2 linked regions of the Diceros bicornis minor genome follow. The protein of the gene in region 1 interacts with the protein of each later gene in a biochemical or structural test. Links are inferred from orthologs where the notes say so. Each region holds a gene or a part of one and is shown on either strand. Other genes may lie near its edges. The genes, in order: PSTPIP1 and PTPN18.

Evidence for each region.
Region 2: the proteins of PSTPIP1 (region 1) and PTPN18 form a complex in vitro, tested with the Homo sapiens proteins (2 studies listed by BioGRID and IntAct). The link is inferred for Diceros bicornis minor from reciprocal best matches to the Homo sapiens genes PSTPIP1 and PTPN18.

The regions. Positions count from the first base shown.
Region 1 is NC_080744.1:69,296,678-69,306,633, reverse strand, and holds the start of PSTPIP1 (proline-serine-threonine phosphatase-interacting protein 1), read left to right. Parts: upstream 1-5,372; 5' UTR 5,373-5,769; coding exon 5,770-5,805; intron 5,806-6,280; exon of another isoform or gene 6,281-6,374; coding exon of another isoform or gene 6,375-6,377; intron 6,378-9,956. UniProt on the Homo sapiens protein: Involved in regulation of the actin cytoskeleton. May regulate WAS actin-bundling activity. Bridges the interaction between ABL1 and PTPN18 leading to ABL1 dephosphorylation.
Region 2 is NC_080749.1:2,119,675-2,129,216, forward strand, and holds the start of PTPN18 (tyrosine-protein phosphatase non-receptor type 18), read left to right. Parts: upstream 1-5,039; 5' UTR 5,040-5,541; coding exon 5,542-5,634; intron 5,635-7,635; coding exon 7,636-7,744; intron 7,745-8,004; coding exon 8,005-8,081; intron 8,082-8,160; coding exon 8,161-8,256; intron 8,257-8,369; coding exon 8,370-8,408; intron 8,409-9,542. UniProt on the Homo sapiens protein: Differentially dephosphorylate autophosphorylated tyrosine kinases which are known to be overexpressed in tumor tissues.

The sequences.
Region 1 (9,956 bases):
GCCCATTGGTGCACTGTGGTGGGGCTCCTTCCATGCCGGGCAGGGCAAGTAGGGTTAAGAGTAGGAGCCCCAACCCAGTGGACATGTGCCTCTAGCTACCTGGAGGGACCGTGCAGACATTTCCCCCAGGAACAGTAGATCACAGTGTTCAGGTCCAGGAACATTCCAGTTCAGCCCTGGACTAGGCGGGCACCTGACAGCCATGGCCAGTAACTTGGCAGTGCCCTTGGCTCTTCCAGGAAGGAAGGATACATGTGTTGCTTGGACTGCCTAGTGAACGGCAGATATCAAGACAGCATGTTAGCACTGAAAGGGACAAAACAAATGTCCCTCGGCCCAGTGGCATTGCCGTTTCCACATGAAATTCATGGTAAGGGCCTTCTGGCTTCCTGATGTCACCAAGGAGCTTTGAGATGCTCCTTCTCTGCAGCCCCTTCCCCTCTCTAGAAGGCTCCAATCTAATGCTTCAGATTCTTCCTGTATGAGATGAGGTTGAAGGGTAGCTGGGACCGGATCATGCAGGGTCTATAGGCTATGTAAGGACAATGACTGTTGTCTTGAGAACAATGGAAAAGCATAGCAAGGTGACAACGGGAAGGTACACGATCAAATTTGGGTCTGAAAATGTCCCCCACTGTGTGAAGAACAGACAGTAGTGAAGTGTTGGCTTCAGGAATGTGAACTAATGCAGTTACACAGGGCTCTGTTGCTCAGAAGGGGTTTGCACTTGGGGCTTAATGCTCTGTGGTTGCCGTCTTGAAAATCTTACTAATGTTATCTTTGAATTTGTGTTTTGTAAGTGAAGTCTGATGCGACAATGAAGCACGCATCAAGGGCTCGGAGCCTCGGCTCATGTGTGATCCTGCCTCCTACTAGCTCCCCACTCCTGCCTAGCAACCACTGCCACCCTCTGCCCCCAGCAGGGACCTGGGTGCAGGTGTGGGGAGGCTCAGGGTTGCCTGGTGGCATCTCAGGATGGAGCACGGTGGTGGCTGTCCCTGCCCTGGGCTGACAGCACCATGCCACATTTGGCAGGTGACTCAAGGGGGTGAGTCTCTTGCCCACTCCTCACCTACATACCTAGTGCATCCTGGCATGAGTTTGTGATACCCTTGGGGATTGCCATCCACCATGGGTAAGGGAGATGCCTGGCTCGACTTTGCTGCCCCCAGCTGGGGAATGCAATCTGGTGGCTGGCGGAAGGACAAACCCAGAAGATGCTAGTCAAGACGTGGAGAGTGCTTGTCCCACAAGTATACCCTGCCCAAAGGAGTGGAAACATTAAATAGCAAATAAAGCACCATGACAGGTCGAGAGAACATGGCAAAGGAAAAAGCTTTCTATTTTAATAGTTTAATGGCAATTTTTTCCCTTACTTTTTTAGTAAGAGGCCCCACATTTTCATTTTGCATTGACCTCACAAATTATACAGCTGGTCCTGGTAGCGAGCAATCGATGAGATCAAGCATGTAAAATACATGCAGGCCCTGCAGGTATTAATACTCCCTTAGTGGTGGCTAGCACTATTGTTTTTGTTGCTTATTTGGCTCAAAAGAATGGATGAAGTGGCTTCAGGAGCTGAGCCCTGCCAGGTGACTGGCTGTGGTGATTGATGTTGTAAAAACTGATTTCACATTTTATTCTCAATCCTTGGACCTACTACTTTTTGAATTCTTCAAGCAGATGTGTTCAAATCCCATGCAAAACAGGATGGGGCTCTGCCTGCACAGGGGGACGCCCCCTTAAAAAAAGAGTGACAGCCTGGCCTGAGGTGCAGCAGCCCAGACCTCAAGGCAAATTGTGTTTTGAAGCAGCTGGAACAGTCGTTAAAAAGCTATGATTTTCAGGACTGGATTTCCCTCCCCGGGGGGCTGGTGAAGGAGGGAGGCTGGAGAACAGTTCCCTTTTCTGGGAGGGACACTCAGATGTCTCCATCCTGCTCCTCCACCTCCCCGATGTCCCACCAACCCATCCCCCCCACCCCAGTTGCCCCATCCAGGCCTCATCCCTCTCTCAGAGTTATTACAACACCCTCTTCCGGTCTCACCTCCTCTGAGCCACTTCGCATCCGGAGAGATCTTTCTAGAACCTGTCTGTGGACCCCTCAGGGCGGAGACTAGGTCTATATCCTCTCTGAGCCCTAGCTCCAGCAGGACCTGGCAGGAGTTAGTGCCCAGCAGTGTTTGTGGACCTGGTTGAGAGAAGGCTGTGGTGGTCACGGTGGTTGGCTCCCAACATCCATAACACCCCAATCAAGGGATCAGGGGAGGCCAATAATGGTGAAGTATGAGTATGTGACTCACTTCTGGCCAACGAGACACAAGGGAAAGTCTCCTGGGAGGCTGGGGTGGGGAGGACTTTGGAGAAAATGAGACACAAGGAGAAGTGTCCCTTCTCTTCCTGTAGATGTAGCTGTGTGTGGAGTTGTAAGCCAGAGCTGCTGCAGCCTGAGGAGGAAGATAGGAGATGGAGGAAAATCACAGAGAAACTGAGCTGGGGACCCAATGTACCCCACCCGGAGGCCACACTGCATCCAGATCCCTTGTGTGGGTGATAACACACTTCCTCCATGCCAGACCCTCTGGTTGTGTGTTCCTTGCAGCCAAAGCATCCTTAGCGGGTGCAAATAACACAGTGAACTTGGAAGACCACGTACCAGGGCTGGACTCTCACCCAAAAGCACCGCCAGCCCCAACAGCCTTCCTGGACTCAGTTTTTCCACTTGTAGATCAGGGTGAGATGTTCTGGAGGCAGAACTGGAGAAAGAAAGGGGGAAACCCACTGTTAAGAGAGGGCTGTCGGTAAAAGATAGCTGTGGAGGTTAACAGCATGCGTGGGCTTTGGCATCAGACAGATCTGGGTCCGAAGCCCAGCCCTCTGCTTACTGGCCGCCAGGCCTTAGGTGAGTCACATAAACTCTTTAATCACTAGTTTGCTCCTCTGTGAAGTGGGAATGATGATAGTGTGTACCCCACAGGATGGGGTGAGGGCTAAGCGTGGTGACCCACGTAGAAAGCTTAATGGTGCTCCCAACACTTGGCAAGTGCTCCCAAGCTGACTGGCGGTTCTGGTGGCACAGGCTTGGGAGCTGCATAAGCTGGGGTGGTGGGGAGGGGAGGAGGCAGATTTCTCTGTGGCGGAGAACTTGAGAGTCTCCTTAGATGCCTCCCATTACTCCTTCCCCAATTGCTCCAGCCCACAACCAGCATGCCATCCGTCTGGGGCTGCCCTGGCTGGACCAGAGCAGTTGGGAAATGAAGGCCTCATATGTGGGGGCCTTGAGGGATGGGAGAATTTACCCAGGTCAGGAAGATCAAGGAAGGCATGCCAGGAGGGAGGCTGGGGGACCAAGGGGCAAAGGTGTGGAGGTAGGGATGGGAAGGGTACCTTTGGGGAGAGGGTAAAGTCCTGTTTGAAGTGGAAATTCAGGGGGATGATGAAAAGAACCCCTGGAGAGGCAGGGGAGGGGGCCTGGCCATGAAATTTTCTGCCAATAAGAGGGTTTGTTGCTGTTAGTACCACTGAGTGAATTTTAACTCCTAGTGACCCTGTGTACAGCAGAGCAGAACCCTGCCTGGTCTTTTTGTGCCTTCCTCTCACCTTCCAGCACTATGTCAGACAATGCTCTGCTGCTATTCATGGGGTTTTCATGGCCAATTTTTTCACAAGTGGGTGGCCAGGTCCTTCTTCCTAGTCTGTCTTAGTCTGGAAGCTCCGCTGAAACCTGTCCACCAGGGGTGACCCTGCTGGTATTTGAAATACTAGTGGCATAGCTTTCAGCATCACAGCAACACGCAGCCGCAACAGTATGACAACCGGCAGACAGGTGGTGTGGTTCCTTGACAGGGAAACAAATCTGGGCCACAGAAGTGAGAGCGACGAATCTTAACCACTAGACCACCAGGGCTGGCTAATAAGAGAGTGGGAGCTTTCTATTAACAGGGGGTTTCTAGTCTGCCTCCAGAACTAGAGGCATCACCCCATTTGATAGGTCACAAAACTGAGGCCAGGGAGGCTGAGTCAGTGCAATCAGAAGTGGTTATGCCATGGGGATGAGGTACAGCCTCAATACTTAGCCTTCTGGGTTTAAGGTGATATTTACACCATTAGCTGTCTTCAGCTGCAAGCAACAGAAAAACCAACTGGAGTGCCTTCAATGCTGAGGGTGTGTATTAACTCAAACCCGAGGATTCTGGAGGTAGGGGGCTCCCAGGGGCAGCCCCACTGGTCTGCAATTCTCCCTGATGTGTTCTGTCTTGGGCAGCTATTTCAGAAGCTTGGGTGTGCCCCATCTGTAACCCTGGGCACACATAACTGGCACTTGGGAGCTTAGCTCTCTTCTGCAGCAGCTCTCATCCGTCTTACCACCCTCCGTCAATGGTAGGGGAGGCAGTGGCAAGGGTGGTGATTTGTGGACAAGCCTGACTCATCCCTTCTTGCCAACCCACCCTGGGGTCAGGCCCCCCTGCCGGCACCTTCTGCTGAGTGGGCAGGCCCTAGCTCCTCAGAGCTGTGTCTGGGGCTCCAGCCCAGGGATCTTCCCAAGGAGATACCAGACAGTGACCCCAGCACCTGCCCAACCAAACAGAAATTCCAGTAATGTTCTCAACACTGTCTCCTTCCCAAAGACTGGGGGCTGGCAGATGGGGAAACTGAGGCTCAGAGAGTTGGAGGGTCGATTAAGGTCCCTCAACCACTGAAGGGTAAGGCCCAGACAAAACAAAAACTGGGGCCTCAGTTTGGGTTTCCAATGCCTTTATAATCCTGTCTCTCTCGGTCCAACCACATTCTTCCAGCCTGAAGACTCCAACTTCAGAGCGTGGCTTCTTGCCCCAGAGTGTCTACTCTGGAGCTGGGGGGAGGGGAGCAGTGCCCATCAGGCCTCATGCTGTTCTCCCTTGGTTAGTTACCGGCTCATCCCACCTCTGTGCTCCCACAGCCCCCAGCCCCCAGCTGTGTCTGCCCCCAGACCGTGAGCTCCTTGAGGGTACGACATGGTTTGGGGCCCTGAGCAGCCAGGGTTTGATGAATGAGAGGGATGTCCTGGGCCTGGGTAAGCCCCTCCCAAATGGGTGGGTGAGGGGTGGAGAGTCTAGCATCTCTGGGCCTGGTCTGGAGTGGGGCTGGGTGGTGGGCAACAGCACCTGGGTTCCTGATTCCCTCCTTGCCCACACCTTCCCTGGGCCTCAGGCTCCATAAGTTGATGGCCTCTGAGAACGGCCAGCTAGGACATGAGAAAGGGGCAAGTGGAGGAGGCAGGCAGCAGGGTGGCAGGTGGCAGGCGGGGCTGCGCCGGGGAGCACAGCAGCTCTACTTCCTGTGGGCGATGGCCCTAGTGCCTGCCCCGGAGGAGGTTGCACAAACCTTCCTGCTCAGGCCTCAGGCTGCCTGCCCACCTGGCCTCTGCACCAGTCTGCCTCTCCCGCTGGCCACTCCTCTCAGTCCTGCAGCCTGGGCTGTGTCCTCATCCCCACGGGGCTGGCCAGGGGCCGGGCCGGACACCGGGACCCGCCCTCCCATCCCTGGGCACCCCGCCTTCCTCATTTTGCTGCTGATTCTAGCCCCAAACAAAATAAGTTGAGTCCTCTTCCTCCCGCAGCAGCGCGTCCCTGGCTTGCAGCTGCCTTCTGAGGCACTGCAGACGGCGCCGGCCAGGGAGGGGGGGCCTGGGCCAGCCCTGCCGGGTCTGGGACGGTGCGCCTGGCTCCTGGCCCTGTTCAGCCCTGCCTGTGGCAGGAGAGTGAGCTTTGCCGTGGCAGACGCCTGAGGATGATGCCCCAGCTTCAGTTCAGAGATGCCTTTTGGGTGAGTGAAGACGGCTGGGGCTTTGAACAAGTGAAATGGGCCCCGGGGGAGGCGGGCAGCTTGGCTGAAATTTCCTGTGGCAGTTCATGGGGATGTGGCTCCAAGAAGGGGGTTTTCTTATAAAAAATAGTGGTTGGTTTTTTGTCTTGGAAGATTTTTGTCTTGGAGGTGACCTGGGCTACTGTCCTTTCTAAGTTGTAAGATAAAGGGGGTCCTAGCCTGGGCCACTGATTTCTCTGCAAACTCACCACGGTGGATGAGGGATCTCCTCTGTGCTCCCAGGGCTGGGTGACCCTCTCTCCACAGCAGGATCTTTTTAGAGGAGTCTAATGTATGGGTGGGAGTTTGAGGCGAAGGAAGGCGGGGGTCGTGGGTTTGGGGACCAGACAAACTTGATCTTGGATCTTGGCTCTGCTATTTAGAGTCTGGACAAGTCATTTTACCTCTCTGAGTTTCATTTTCTCCATCTATATAGTAGAGATAAATATTAATAAACATACCAACTGAATGGAAGGATTAAACAAGGCGATCTAACGTCATCAAGTCCTGGCAACTTGCTGGCATGCCAAATGGTAATTCTCATCCCCTCACCCACCCTTCTTCCTTGAAGACCTGAGAGGTCCTCTGAGGAGGCAGCAGGGCTGGGTGATTCCTTGCTTGCTTTCTTAAATTCAGCACAGGCACAAATCAAGTCCTTTCCCCGTGAAATTATGGCCCCTGGCGGGCTCACAGAGGTGAAATGGCTTGGCGCAGGCCACACGGCCTGCAAGCCCCAGATCCCCTCAGCTTTTTTCCAGCTGTCTCTCAACCTTCCCGCCTGCTCCTCAAGCTCTGGCTTTCCCTAATGGCTCACTGGGAAAGTGGAGACCTCTCTGGTTAGAGTTGAGGAATGTGGCTGTCCGGAGGGTGCCCCTCCTCCAGCCCCGCAGAGGACTCCTTGGCCCTCTGCTCAGCCAGCTCAGCCTCAGCCAACAGCCTGCCCTCCCTGGGCCCTTTCCTGGGGCCTACGGCCAGGAGGATGAGAGCTAATGAGCCTTCCTTCTCTTCCGGTCCACGCTCTGCTTGAAGCCTATGGCCAGTGTGTGAGTGGCCTGCTTCTCGCTGGCACTGATTGCCCAGTGGGCAGTGGGCTGCCTGGGGAGGGCACCCTGTGCCTCTCTGGGCCTCCATTTCCCCATCTCAAAGAGGGGCTGGAACCAGCCTGGAGAATCTGATGGAGGCAGACCTGGCTCGGCCCATCCCAAGTATCAGGCTGGCAGGTGTGGGTGGGTGGCTGCAGTGGGGGAAGACAGGGGGGTGGTGAGTCACCACGTCACACCTCTGACTTTAAGTGTGTAGTTAAAGTAGGGCCTGGAAATCCAGGGTGCTCCGTAGCCCAGGGCAGGCCAGGAGATCCTAAGTGTCTTACCTCCAGGACATCTGGGCCCATCTTCCCCGGGGCAGAGCTGGGGCAAGGAGCAGCCTCATGGCAGGATCTGGGCAGCAGGGGATGGTATATGAGGGAGCAGGGTGTGGCGGCAGCAGCAGCAAGAAAGCAGCCTACCTGTGGTAGCTTCCTGAGTGGCAGCCCGCCCAGGCTTGCCCCACCTCTGAGCCGCTGCGGGCTTCATGGCCTCCGGATGCCTCCTCCCCTCCATTGCTGACTCCTTAGCCCTGGGTTAGGGGTACAGCTTCCCTGGGGAAGGCCAGAGCAGGGAGGGGGAGAGAAGTGGCCAGTGGGAGCCTCTCACACTGAGCCTAGGCAGATGCCCCAGAAGGTCACTGTCAGCATCACTGCTCCCAGGGCTCTGAATTCTAACACTTCCTCCTGAGGCTCAGCCCAGCTCAGTCCATGAGGAAAACTAAGACTACTGAGCACTACAGATGTGCCAGATGCTGTTCTCAGGACCGTGTATCTATCTACTCATTTAAAGTGATGAAGTAGATGCTATCCTTATCCCTGTTACTAAGAGGAGGAAGTTGAGGCACAGAGGGCTTAAGTAACTTGCCCAAGGTCACACAGCTGGGCTTAAACTGACATGTTGACTCCAGTGCTTGGGCTTGCACCTGGGGCACTTCATTATCCCTCAATTAACATAGCAGATCGCTGGGTCTTTGGGCCATATCAGTGAAATGGGGAGAAAAATTCTGTCCTTCCTACCTCCCAGAGAAGTAAGATCAGACGAGGTTGATAGGAGTATTTTGAAGCTCAATTTACAGACATACTGATTTAACTGCAGTCAGGTGTTAGGGACAGAGCCCAACCTCCCCCTCCCCCGTCTGCCCCCTTCCCCAGCCCAAGGCAATGCCATTGGACCCTGCAGCTTGGCTGCACACTGTTTGAAAATGACTAGTCTTTAATAGTGGGAGGAAGCCCCTGAACAAGAAGGATCATGTCTGATGCCGTAGCACTGCAGTTGTCTGGCAACCTCAAATCCAGAACACAGGTGAGAGCCAGCCCTGTTTCTGGCACTAGCTCTCAGTAAGGGGGCAAAGATGGTGGTTTCTGAAAAACTAAGAGCTTGCGCTAAAGCACATACACTTTATTCACGAGATGGCACATAGCTTTTAGTTAGAGCCTAGGAACCCTGATTTTACCTACAATTTTAACGAGCTTGGTCAGGTGCTCTTTTAACCTATAGATGCAGCAATTAGGAGGGGTCTACATGGAACCTGATATACAGCTGGTGATTGATAAATGTTGGTGGACCCGAGCTGTCAGAGACAGTTTCACAGGTAGCTGTAGCCTGATAGCAAGGGAGGAGACAGAAACGTTGTAAAAAGCAGACATAATGGCTCAGAAGTGGTGGGAACACTCGGTGTGGGAGCAGACCAGTCCTGTCCCTCGGTAGGCCTGTATTTGCAGTTTTGTCAGTGTGGCCACCCAGTATTTATTTATAGCCTGCTTTTATCTGTGGCAGAACATTCAGATGCAGGCTGCTGTGGGAGTGAGGTGGGGGTGGGCCAGCCATGGGGAGAGGGAAGGGATAATTTGATTTCTGTTAGACACACACAATGATAAAGAGCATCACAACTTTGCAGGAAGTTTGTGGCTGAGCCTCAGAGCGGGACCTGTCAGAGAGACAAGGCGGAGGCTGAGAACACCAGGTGCCCGAGCTGAGAGGGGCTTAGATCTCAGATAACCTGTCTCCGCACAGAGGCAGAGGGGCACAGGAGCCCAGAGAAGGCAGGGTCCTGCCCCACCCCCCATACACACAGCTCTCTTTGCCAGTGGCTCTGCTCCCAGCAGGCAGCCAAACTGTATTGCAAGAAACATCTGTCTGCATCCTCAGCACAGGGCTGGCAAGGGGGGCACGTGTTCAGTCAATGTCTGTAGAATAAATGAACAAACAGTGAAGGCCTCCCTGGTCCCACTGCCTTCCTGAACCCATTTTCTCCTTCATTTCACTTTAGTTATATTCTACAAATATTTATTGAGCAGGGTTCTCCACTAGGTGGTCTAAGCTGGACCCCTGAGCCTCACCCCCACATCCAACCAGATGAATGAGACTGTCCTGCCCTCAAGGAAGTCACCATCCAGTGCTGGAGGCTGAGATTCCCTAATAACTGGGCCAGGCATGGGGTGCACTGAGAGGAGCAGTGCTCTGAGCTGCACCGCCCCTCCCAGATCTATATATCCAATGGCCTTTGCAAAGAAGTCACTGGATACTGTTTTAAGAGGGAAAAATCTAGTTCTGGACCAGGTTTTACTGAGATCCACATCCTATCCCTTTTGGGGTCATTAAAAGGAAAAGGAAGGGCCTGAGGAGGCTGGGCCACATATCCTACGGGAACCACCAAGGGTGATGGAGAGAATAGGCCTGAACTTTCCCTTTGACTTATGTCACATCTCTCCCCTTTGAGGCTGGGCTCCAGCTTCATCTGGAAACCTCTGTGCCAAGCTGGGAGGAGCTGAGCCCCCCAACAGAGTGAAGACAAAGGAAGGTACCACTCCCTGGGTGGGGCGAGGGGGATGACTCACCAGGGACAGACACTGGGCTGAGGCTGGGGCTGCCCCTCCCTCATGCGTCCGCTCAGCTGCTGTTGCCTCTTCCCCTTCCCAGTTCCGAGACTCTGAGTTTCCCCATTTAGGAGGCTACAGAGAAGGGGCCCAAAAGGCCCCACTTTGGCCTGTCCTAAAGCTGCCTGTCCCCCACCCAGGACCTGCCAAC
Region 2 (9,542 bases), on another chromosome or scaffold:
TCTTGTAAGTCCTTATGGTTTTCCATAAGATTTTCTAGAACTTTCTAGCTGATTATGACATATGCCTGTTACAGTGTTTTCGACAGACCCTTCCTCTTTTTTCCTTGCCACAGTGCATTGACTAGGACTTCACAACACCCAGCAGCAGCAGCAAGCAGTGAGATGCCCCTGCCCTCAGTCTCATTACAGGAATGCTTTCAGAGATGTTAATGCTTACCCAGACATGTATGTGTACTTACTTCTCTCTGGTTTTATAATTGGGTGGCAGAAGCCAATGCAGACAGATCATACCTCCCTTTGGCTGTTGTGATGCTGTGGGTTTGCGTTCAGCACCCACAGCAGGGCTCTGAGCTGTGCAGGACCCCAGCCAGCCTAAGCTTAAAAGAATGTGGCCAGACGTTAGCTCAGGGCTAATCTTCCTCAGCAAAATAAGGACGATTAGAAACAGATGTTAGCTCTGCGAATCTTCCTCAGCAAAAAAAAAAAAAAAGAGAGAAGAAGAAGAATGTGGCCAGTTGGTCTTTTCCAAATAAAGTGCTGCACACAGAGGTGTGCTTGTGCTGGGCTAAAATCAGGTGTAGAAACTGCAAGCCAAGGACACAGGGCAGCCTGACCAGAGGCCCCAGGATGCTACTACCCACATCACTGTCAGAGCATTTCTTTGCCTGGAGCTCACAGGAGCCTGAGCTGTCAGCTCAGAGAGCCCAGGGCTGAGTTTATTTCCTCGCAAGGCTTGTTCTGGCAGCTGGAGCTTGCTCTGGGTGATGAAGATGCCCAGGCTCTGCTCTGGAAGATGTGGGGCCAGCCTGGGGAAAAGTTGGTATGAACATTTTAAGGGTGTCATTTTCTAAAGATGGGAAAAAGGGCTTTCCATCTCCGTGCCTCCAGGGCAGTTCCTGAGGGCAGAGACCCAGCCTTCACAAAGGGATAGGCTGGAGTGGTGGCAGCAGGACTGAGAAGGAGGAGCGTGGCTTTCTCCTTGTGCATGCTCCCCCACTCTGAGCTGCTGACCTTTTGCCAGACAGGGACCAGGAGGGATCCTTGATTCAAAACAGTGAAACCCTGAGGAGAGTTGGAGGAGAACGTAACAAAAGCCCTCCCAAAGGCAGTTAGCTCCAATCCCTGATGGACGCCAGCTTCCACTTGTAACTGCAATGAGTGGCATTTTTCCTATTTGCCAAATGCCAGATTTGTGGATGGGTCAACAGGTCAGTCCATTCAGCCCACAGGTTCTTTTTTTTTTTTTTTTTTAATTTTATTTACTTATTTATTTTTCCCCCTAAGCCCCAGTAGGTAGTTGTATGTCATAGCTGCACATCCTAGTTGCTGTATGTGGGACACGGCGTCAGTGTGGCCCCAGAAGCGGTGCGTCGGTGCGCGCCCGGGATCTGAACCCCGGGCCGCCAGCAGCGGAGTGCACGCAGTTAACTGCTAAGCCACGGGGCCGGCCCCAGCCCACAGGTTCTTAACAGAGTGTTGCAGTGAGAGGATTTTTTCAAATTTCTTCTGCTCTTTTTTGCTAAGCCAAAAAATGAAGCCAGATAAGAACTATACAACGAGGATGTCAGGAGCCTCAGAGTATCTCCACTCCTGGGTATTGGGCAAGGTCATCGAGAGGATGTGACTACCGGTTGACCTGTGAGCTGGACCCAGGCAATCAGAGGCTCCTCACCCCCTCCCCTGTCCTTGGAATGTGGGTTCTACTTGACTTTCCGCTCCCAGAAGGACAGAGCCTTGAGAGAGCAATGTGGTGTTGAGACCGTCTGGACGGTGTACATGGCACCCCAGGTAAGGCCTCTATAAAAGCTTTTAAGCTTCTGGCGGGCAGGTGTGGAAATCTACTCATCTTGCAGCAGCCCAAGACAAGCCTCATAAGTAAGTTCCCTTGTTTATTAAACCCACCACCTACCAATCTGGAGTAGTCTGCCTCTTCAGTCTCTCCTTGCTCTCTCTGTGTGTTGGGGGGGGGCGGGGGGGGGAGTGGGGAGGGCTGGTTTCAGATTACACTTGGGACAATGCCTCTGAGGTTGTGACCCAACACAGGGTTGAGGTAATATCTGCCAGGTTTCTCCACTGTAAAGTTACGATTTTCCCCCTTGCAACATCAGCACAGGCTGAGTTCCTCATAGCACTGCAAAAGCTTCCCCCAGCGCCCTCCAGCACCCTGTCCACTTGGCTCTATTGAGTGGCCAGTTCAGCAAGCACTCTGAGCTGGCAAGCAGGTAGCAGACTGGCATGTGGCATGTGGGCATCAGGGTGCTCAGGATCTACAGGGGCAGTGCCAGCTGCTACTGCTGCACAGGATTGCCGCCAGTAGGGTGAACAAGAGGGCCACCAGCAGTAGCGAGTCCCATTGTAAGAAAACAGCTTGCAGTCCTCTGGGAGAAGGGAAGTGGGGTGGGCCAGGGCTGCTGGAGGAGGTCTTGAGAGTCTGCACATCGCCCACACCCAGCCTGAGCTGAGTGAAGGGCAAGCCCGGAGAGTCGGGATGTTTGGAGAGGCATGGGAGGATGGTCAGTGTCAGGAGGGCAAGCAGGATAAACAGTGAGATGGGGCCGTGGGGTGGGGTGGACATGCAGCCAGAAGGACACCTAACCTCGCTGGAAGGTGAACCACCATGGTTCATAGGCCATAAGATCTCAGCCAGATAGGCAGAAAGATCCCCAGACATACAGACAGACTTGTAGATGAACAGAATCCCAGGGAGACAGACTCCAGTGGGACATCCAGCCAGACAAATGGACAGATTCTTGCACAGATGGGAAGATCCCCAGATCCAGAAAGACATGTGGCCAGACACATGGACACTCTCCACTCCAGCCAATTGGAAGGTGACCGCAGCCAATCAAACGCAATCCCTCAAGGACAGACAGAACCTCCCAACTGGACAAAGAGATGTTACCCAAGCAGAAAGACACCCCATCCACCTAGTCAACTAGCCGGCCAGACTCTCAGCTTGACAGACGTACCTTCTGCCAGTAAGAGAGACCCCAGCCGATGAGAAAGTCAGGCCCTCAGCGGGATAGACAGAGCCTCCCAAGCCAGCTGGATAGACAGACCCTCAAGCCAAGTGGACAGATAGATAGATACACCCACCCCATCAGTCAGACAGAAGATCCCCAGCTAGCCAAACCCTAGTCACCACCAATAGATGATCTGGATGGCCCACTGACCCCTCAATGTTGTTTCTGCTCCCCAGGTACCACCAGTTTCCAGTGACTTTGACCTCTAATAACATCCACTACCACTAGGGTCCACAAAGACCTTCATGACGCCTCAGAGACTCTTCCCTGTTTACTGTGGTATCCACTAGTCTCGAATGACTACCATTAGTGTCCATAAGTACTCAGGAACTCAACAGTCTCCATATTTTCTCAGAGATCACTGATACTTCTGTATCCCACCACCCTGAGTTTCCAACAACCCATGACTATCCACAAAATCTCAGTGATTCCACATTTCCCTGTCATGCCCTGAGTAGGAGCCCTCAATGACCTTCCCTTCTTTTGACTCTTCAGTTACTTAAAGTAACTGACCTAACCTAACCCTAACCCTAACTGAAGTTACTTTAAGTAAGTAAAGTAACTAAAGTACTCCAAATCCCAATGAGTCCTCACTTTCACTCTCTCTCACTGACCTCCCAAAGACTGCCATTAACATCCACTGACGGTCCCTCATGAACATCCAAGGACTCCCACTACCTCCAGTGAATTCACTGTCAATGTCCATCCTCAGTGATCACTACTGATCACCTTTGAACACTCAAAGATGAAACTGATAAACACTGAGTCCACGGTGACCCCCACTAGCCCCTCAACAAATGAAACATCCCCACTGACCCACTTTAAGTGACCTCTCAGTCACTTAAACTGGGGTCAGCAAACCACAGCCTGCATATATATATACATATATATATATATGACACATGAAATTAAAATTTGTGTCCAAAAACAAAGTTTTATTGGATATAGCCACACTCATTCCTTTACATATTGCCTGTGGCTTCTTTCACACTGCCAAAGCAGAGTTGAGTAGCTGGGACAGAGACTAGAGACCAACGCCCTTTAAGAAAGAATTTGCCCATCCCTGACAATGCTCTGATAACCCCCTAATGAATTCAATCCACAACCTGAACCAATGACCTTGTTGACTCCTCAGTGCCTGAAAGTAAGTTCACCTCACCCGGTGGTCACCCTTCGACACCTCAGTGACCTCAAACTAGACTTCACAGACACCCTATCCAAAGACACCCCTCCCCGAAATTCATTCCATGACCCGGGTGAGGTGTGGGCTAGACCATCTAGCCAGGCCCGTCCTTGGCCGGGCCTTGAGGCTCCTCTCTGCTCTCTCTTCCCTTGGTGACCCCCCAAGCTGGAGCAGCAGTTGTACTCTGGCCTTTTCCTGCACATTTTCTCAAGATGAGGGTGCAGGGAGAGAAGAAAACAGAAGCTCTTTAGAAGTGTTGAGAGGGGCCGCCCCGTGGTATAGCGATTGGGTGCACGCGCTCTGCTACTGGCGGCCGGGTTTCGGATCCTGGGCACGCACCAACACACCGCCTCTCCGGCCATGCTGAGGCTGCGTGCAACCATGACATACAACTATCTACTGGGGCTTGGGGCGGGGGGGAACCGGAGGCAGATTGGCAATAGATGTTAGCTCAGAGCTGGTCTTCCTCAGCAAAAAGAGGAGGATTGGCATGGATGTTAGCTCAGGACTGATCTTGCTCACACACACACACAAAAAAGTGTTGAGAACGTCTTGTCCCCTGGAACCCACTTCCAGGGCCTCAGTTCTCAGTTTCACACCAGGTTTTTGCGGGTTGAACTCCTCAAATTAGGACTGGATCCTGGTGCCCCCACCCAGCCTGACCCAGAAAAAGAAGGAACCTCAGGAAATACATCAATACGGAAGCATTCGCCTCCACTCGGTCTTTCCCACAGCACAGGTGCCGCAATGTCATTTTTCCCCGCGGCTACCCCGCCTGACCTCCCTCGAACCCCGTCGGAGCGCACAGCGCGGACTCCACCCGCCCGGGGGCCCCGACGCAGAAGCTGCAGCTCGACCTCGGCGGCCCTCTCCATTCATAGCTGCCGACCCACCCTGGCTCGGACGCCGAGCCAGCCTAGCTCCCAGGAGACAGTCCGGGAAGCCAGGCTAGGGCGCGTGACCGTTCACCCAGCGCCGGACTCGCAGGGAGGTCGTCCTGGCCGCGAATCCTGGGCCCAAGCATGAGGGAGTGTCGTGGGACTCTGCGGACTCAGCCAGCCGGCGCGGCGGCCACGAAAAGGGAAGCACTCGCGCTGGACTCACTTCCCCGGCGCAGCCGGAGAGGACCCAGGGCTCTGGCACCGCCCGGGTCCGGACGCCTGTGGGCGGGGCAGGAGTGGCCTCTCAATGTCATTGGCCGAGGGGCGCGCCCTGCCGGCCGCTGCGCGCTTCCATTGACTGGCGAGAAAGGAGGCAGTCCGCCTCCAGCACTGTCTACACTCGCTGAGAGCACCGAACGCAGCGGCGGAGCGGATCTCGCTGGCCAGCGGCGCCATGAGCCGAAGCTTGGACGCGGCACGGAGTTTCGTGGAGCAGCTGGAGGCGCGGGGCGGCCGGGAGGGGGCGATCCTTGCCAGCGAGTTCAGCGTGAGTGGGCGAGTGTGGACGGCCGCGCGGTGCTCTCTGGCTCCTCGCCCTGGACTCTCCGGACGTCTCTTCCGTGCGCCCTGCTGCGCTTTGCCCCTCTCTTGGCGTCTAGCGGCGTCTCCTCTCCTCGAGGTCTATTTTTCTTTCCCCAGCACCTCTCTCTGTCGCGCTCTCTCCCTGTCGTCACTCTCCGCCCGCAGGGCCCCGGAGGGCGAAGTCCACGGCCAGGCTGGGCGGGGCCGCAGACACCCTCGGGTCCCCGTGCCCTCGTAGCGCTCGGAACAATCCCGCGGCTGGGCGGGGCGGCTGGGGAGGGCGGGCGCGCACCTGCGCTCCAGGCGACCCGGCGGTCACCTCTGTGGTCTTGGGAAGGGAGGGGCTGGGGGAAGAAGAACCAAGAGGCCCTGTGCGCCGAGGGTGTGGACACTGTCCTCTTGTCGGCTTTGTGGCCCGGGGCGGATTACCCAGCCCCTCTGGCCTCTGTTTCTCTTTGGGTGAAATAGGGACGTTAAAGATTTAAAGGATTAAATAACTGGGATGGGTAAAAAGCGCTTAGCACATCTTGAGCGCTCACTTTGTAGGAGCCTTTGTCATTAGTTATAAATATTCTAAACATTACAATGAGGTAGTGCAAGCCACACTTAAGGAATGCTATTGCAGCGTGATAGGCACTGCATACCACGCCTAATGAGATGTTTTAAATACAGTAACTTATGTAACAAATATAGACATATGCTATGCAAGTATGTAAATGCAATATATGGTGACATATATCAAATTTAGAAAGATGTGATATATAATAAATATATAAAAATGTTTGATAAATATATGATATAAATACTTTATATAATAAATGACTATAATCACTAAGTATGATAAAAATAGATAATAGAAACAAATTTATTAATTTTAAGTATAAAATACAGTGACTATGTAAAATTAATGATTTTAAATTACAATTTACTCAATAAACATTTAACTTCATAAAACAACAGAACATAAATACAGCATATAAAATTATAATTTATAAAATAAGCAGTTATTCAATAAGTTCCTAAGTAAATATAAAATATGTAACACATAGATAAAAGTACTATAATATAAATCTAAGTAATTTACACAAATATAAAAAGATACTGTATCTAAGAAATGTATAATAAATGCAAAATATATCATTTGTTCAATATGAAAATGTATCTAGTAAATGTAAACATATAATACCCAGGTGGCATACAGTGTCATGCCCATCCGGTCTGGCCCAGTCTGGGACAGTGAGCCCTGCTGAGGACCCCTGGTCCGAGGGCCAGGTGGTGGGCAGTGCCTGCACTCACAGGAGTCTTTAGGCCTTTCTGGGTGGTGGTTTCCTCATCTGTATAGTAGAAACATCAATAGTGGTCCCCACTACACTAGGATGTCCATGAGTTTTTAAATGACAGGATGGGCACAAGTAAAGCACTTAGAATGGTGGCTCAAACCCACTGGTGGCTTGGTAGCTGTTACTTATGTCGCCATGATTATGAATAACTGATGATGATGGTAATGTACTATTCACTAATTGTAATAATCTAACAATAATAAAGTACCTATAGTATCTTGTTACATAAATAATGTTATACATTATAATTCATACACATTGTATATTGTCATATATATCATATCGTGTTTGTTCTATTAAATACATAATACATTACAATTAGTGTATTACAATACAGTGTAATACGGAGTGGATGCTGAGAGGTCTGAGTTCAACCCTCACTGTGCCACTTCCACTTTGGGTGGGACTTTCTGCAAGTCTCTCAGCCATGTGGTGCGCCAGCTTTCTCCCCCAGCACAATGGGGACGTCGGTAATAGAACCCACTTCAGAGGGACCTTGTGATGATTCAGTGCCCTTAGCACAGAGAAGGCGCTCTGAGCCGCTGTTATTATTGTATCATTACAATCAGCCTGGACTCTGACCTGGCTCCTCTCTCCTCCCGGTCGCTCACGGTGCCTCCCGCCAGGACATCCGGGCCCGCTCAGCCGCCTGGAAGAGTAGCAACCTGTGCTCCACCGAGGCTGGCAGTCGGCCAGGGAACGTGAGAAAGAACCGCTACAAAGACGTGCTGCCATGTAAGTCGGGGGCTTCCGAGGAGTTGGTGCGGCTCCGCACTCGCCCCCCACCCCGTGCAGTCCAGGGTCACCGTATACTGCAGCGCTCTCTCTCCCAGAGCTTTGCCGCGGCTGCATTTCTCCCGAGCAGCCCGGAGTGCCCCCCAGGGGGATCCTTGCGAGGTGTGCTGCCCCATGCTGGCTTTCATGCAGGAGCCTGTCAGGGCCTTGATGCCCCTGTCACCCCCAAACTACACGTTTCTCACCTCTCCCGCTGGCAGATGATCAGACAAGAGTGATCCTCTCTCTGCTCCAGGAGGAGGGACACGGCGACTACATCAATGGCAACTTCATCCGGGTCAGGCTGGGAGTCAGGAAAGGGGCGGCTGTGGTGGGGGCAACCGCGGGACCTCGGTAGTGAACTCAGCCTTTACCAGGGCACAGACGGAAGCCAGGCCTACATCGCCACGCAGGGCCCCCTGCCTCACACCTTGCTAGACTTCTGGCGCATGGTCTGGGAGTTTGGAGTCAAGGTCAGCTTTGGGGGAGTGTGAGGTGGGGCCTGGGTTCTGAGTCCTCCCTTCACCCCATTTCCCCCACCCCCTAATCCAAATCACCTCCCTCTCCCCTGACTCCTCTTGTCTAGGTGATCCTGATGGCGTGTGGAGAGACGGAGAATGGGCGGGTAGGTGTTGTCTACCTCTAGAATGCCTTTCCTCGTCCAGGCGGGTGGCAGGAGAAATCTTGCTAGCTCCTCCCTGATCCCATGACTCAAGGGTCCAGTTCTTGGAGTGACCTCACTGTAGCTTTGTTGAAAGCCCACTATTACTCTCTTTAATTTGTTGTTGATCTTTTCCCTTTTATCCATGCAGTGCCTCCCTCCAGTGTTGGCAACCCCTCTCCTGCCAGTCTTCCCACCCCATACTGCACCATAGACCATAAGGCCCTATACTGCAGCTTCCCTGGTACAGCTGTGCTCTCTCTTCCCACCTCTGTCCCCTTTATTCTTTCCACTCAAAGTACTCTGGCTTTTGCTGTTTCTTAGATGTGCCAGGGATCGCTCTGCCTCTGGGCCCGTCCCGTGGCTGTTCCCTCGGTCCAGGCACTCTTCCCTTGGCTTGCTCCGTTTCTGCCTTCAGGTGTTTGCTCAAATGCTGCTTCCTCAGTGAGACCTTCCTGGGTCTCACACCATTTAATACTCCCAGCACTGCCACGCTCCTTCCCTGTCCTGCTTTCTTTTTTTCTTCACAGTTCTTACCAGCTTCTAATATACAAGATAATCTACTAATGCATTGTGTACATTGTTTATTCTCAGTCTCCCTGACTAAAAGATAAGTTCCATGAGGGCAGGGATCTTTGTTTTGCCTGTTAGCATAAATTAGTTAATCAATGTATGTCAACACTGCAGCCACATGGTTTCTGCATCCTGGCCTGCCCCATGGACAGGGTTAGGGGTGGGCTAAGTATTGTTGGGGTGACTGGCTGATCATGGAGTCTGTACAGTCTGTAGTGATGCCTATTTTTCCTTCCTGATTTTGGTAATTTGTGGTCTGTGTGTCTCTCTTTCCCATGTCAGTCTGGCTAGAGTAAAGATGGGTAAACTTCAGCTTTTATGCTAAATCTGTCCTGCTGCCTGTTTTGGTAAATGGAATGTGCTGGAACACAGCCACACACATTTGTTTACATGCTGGTTATACCTCCTTTCATGCTACAGTGTCAGAGGTCAGGACTTGTAAGTTAAGTAGATTGTATGGCTCACAAAGTCTAAAATATTTATTATCTGGCCCTTTATAGAAAAAGTTAACCAATCTCTGAGCTA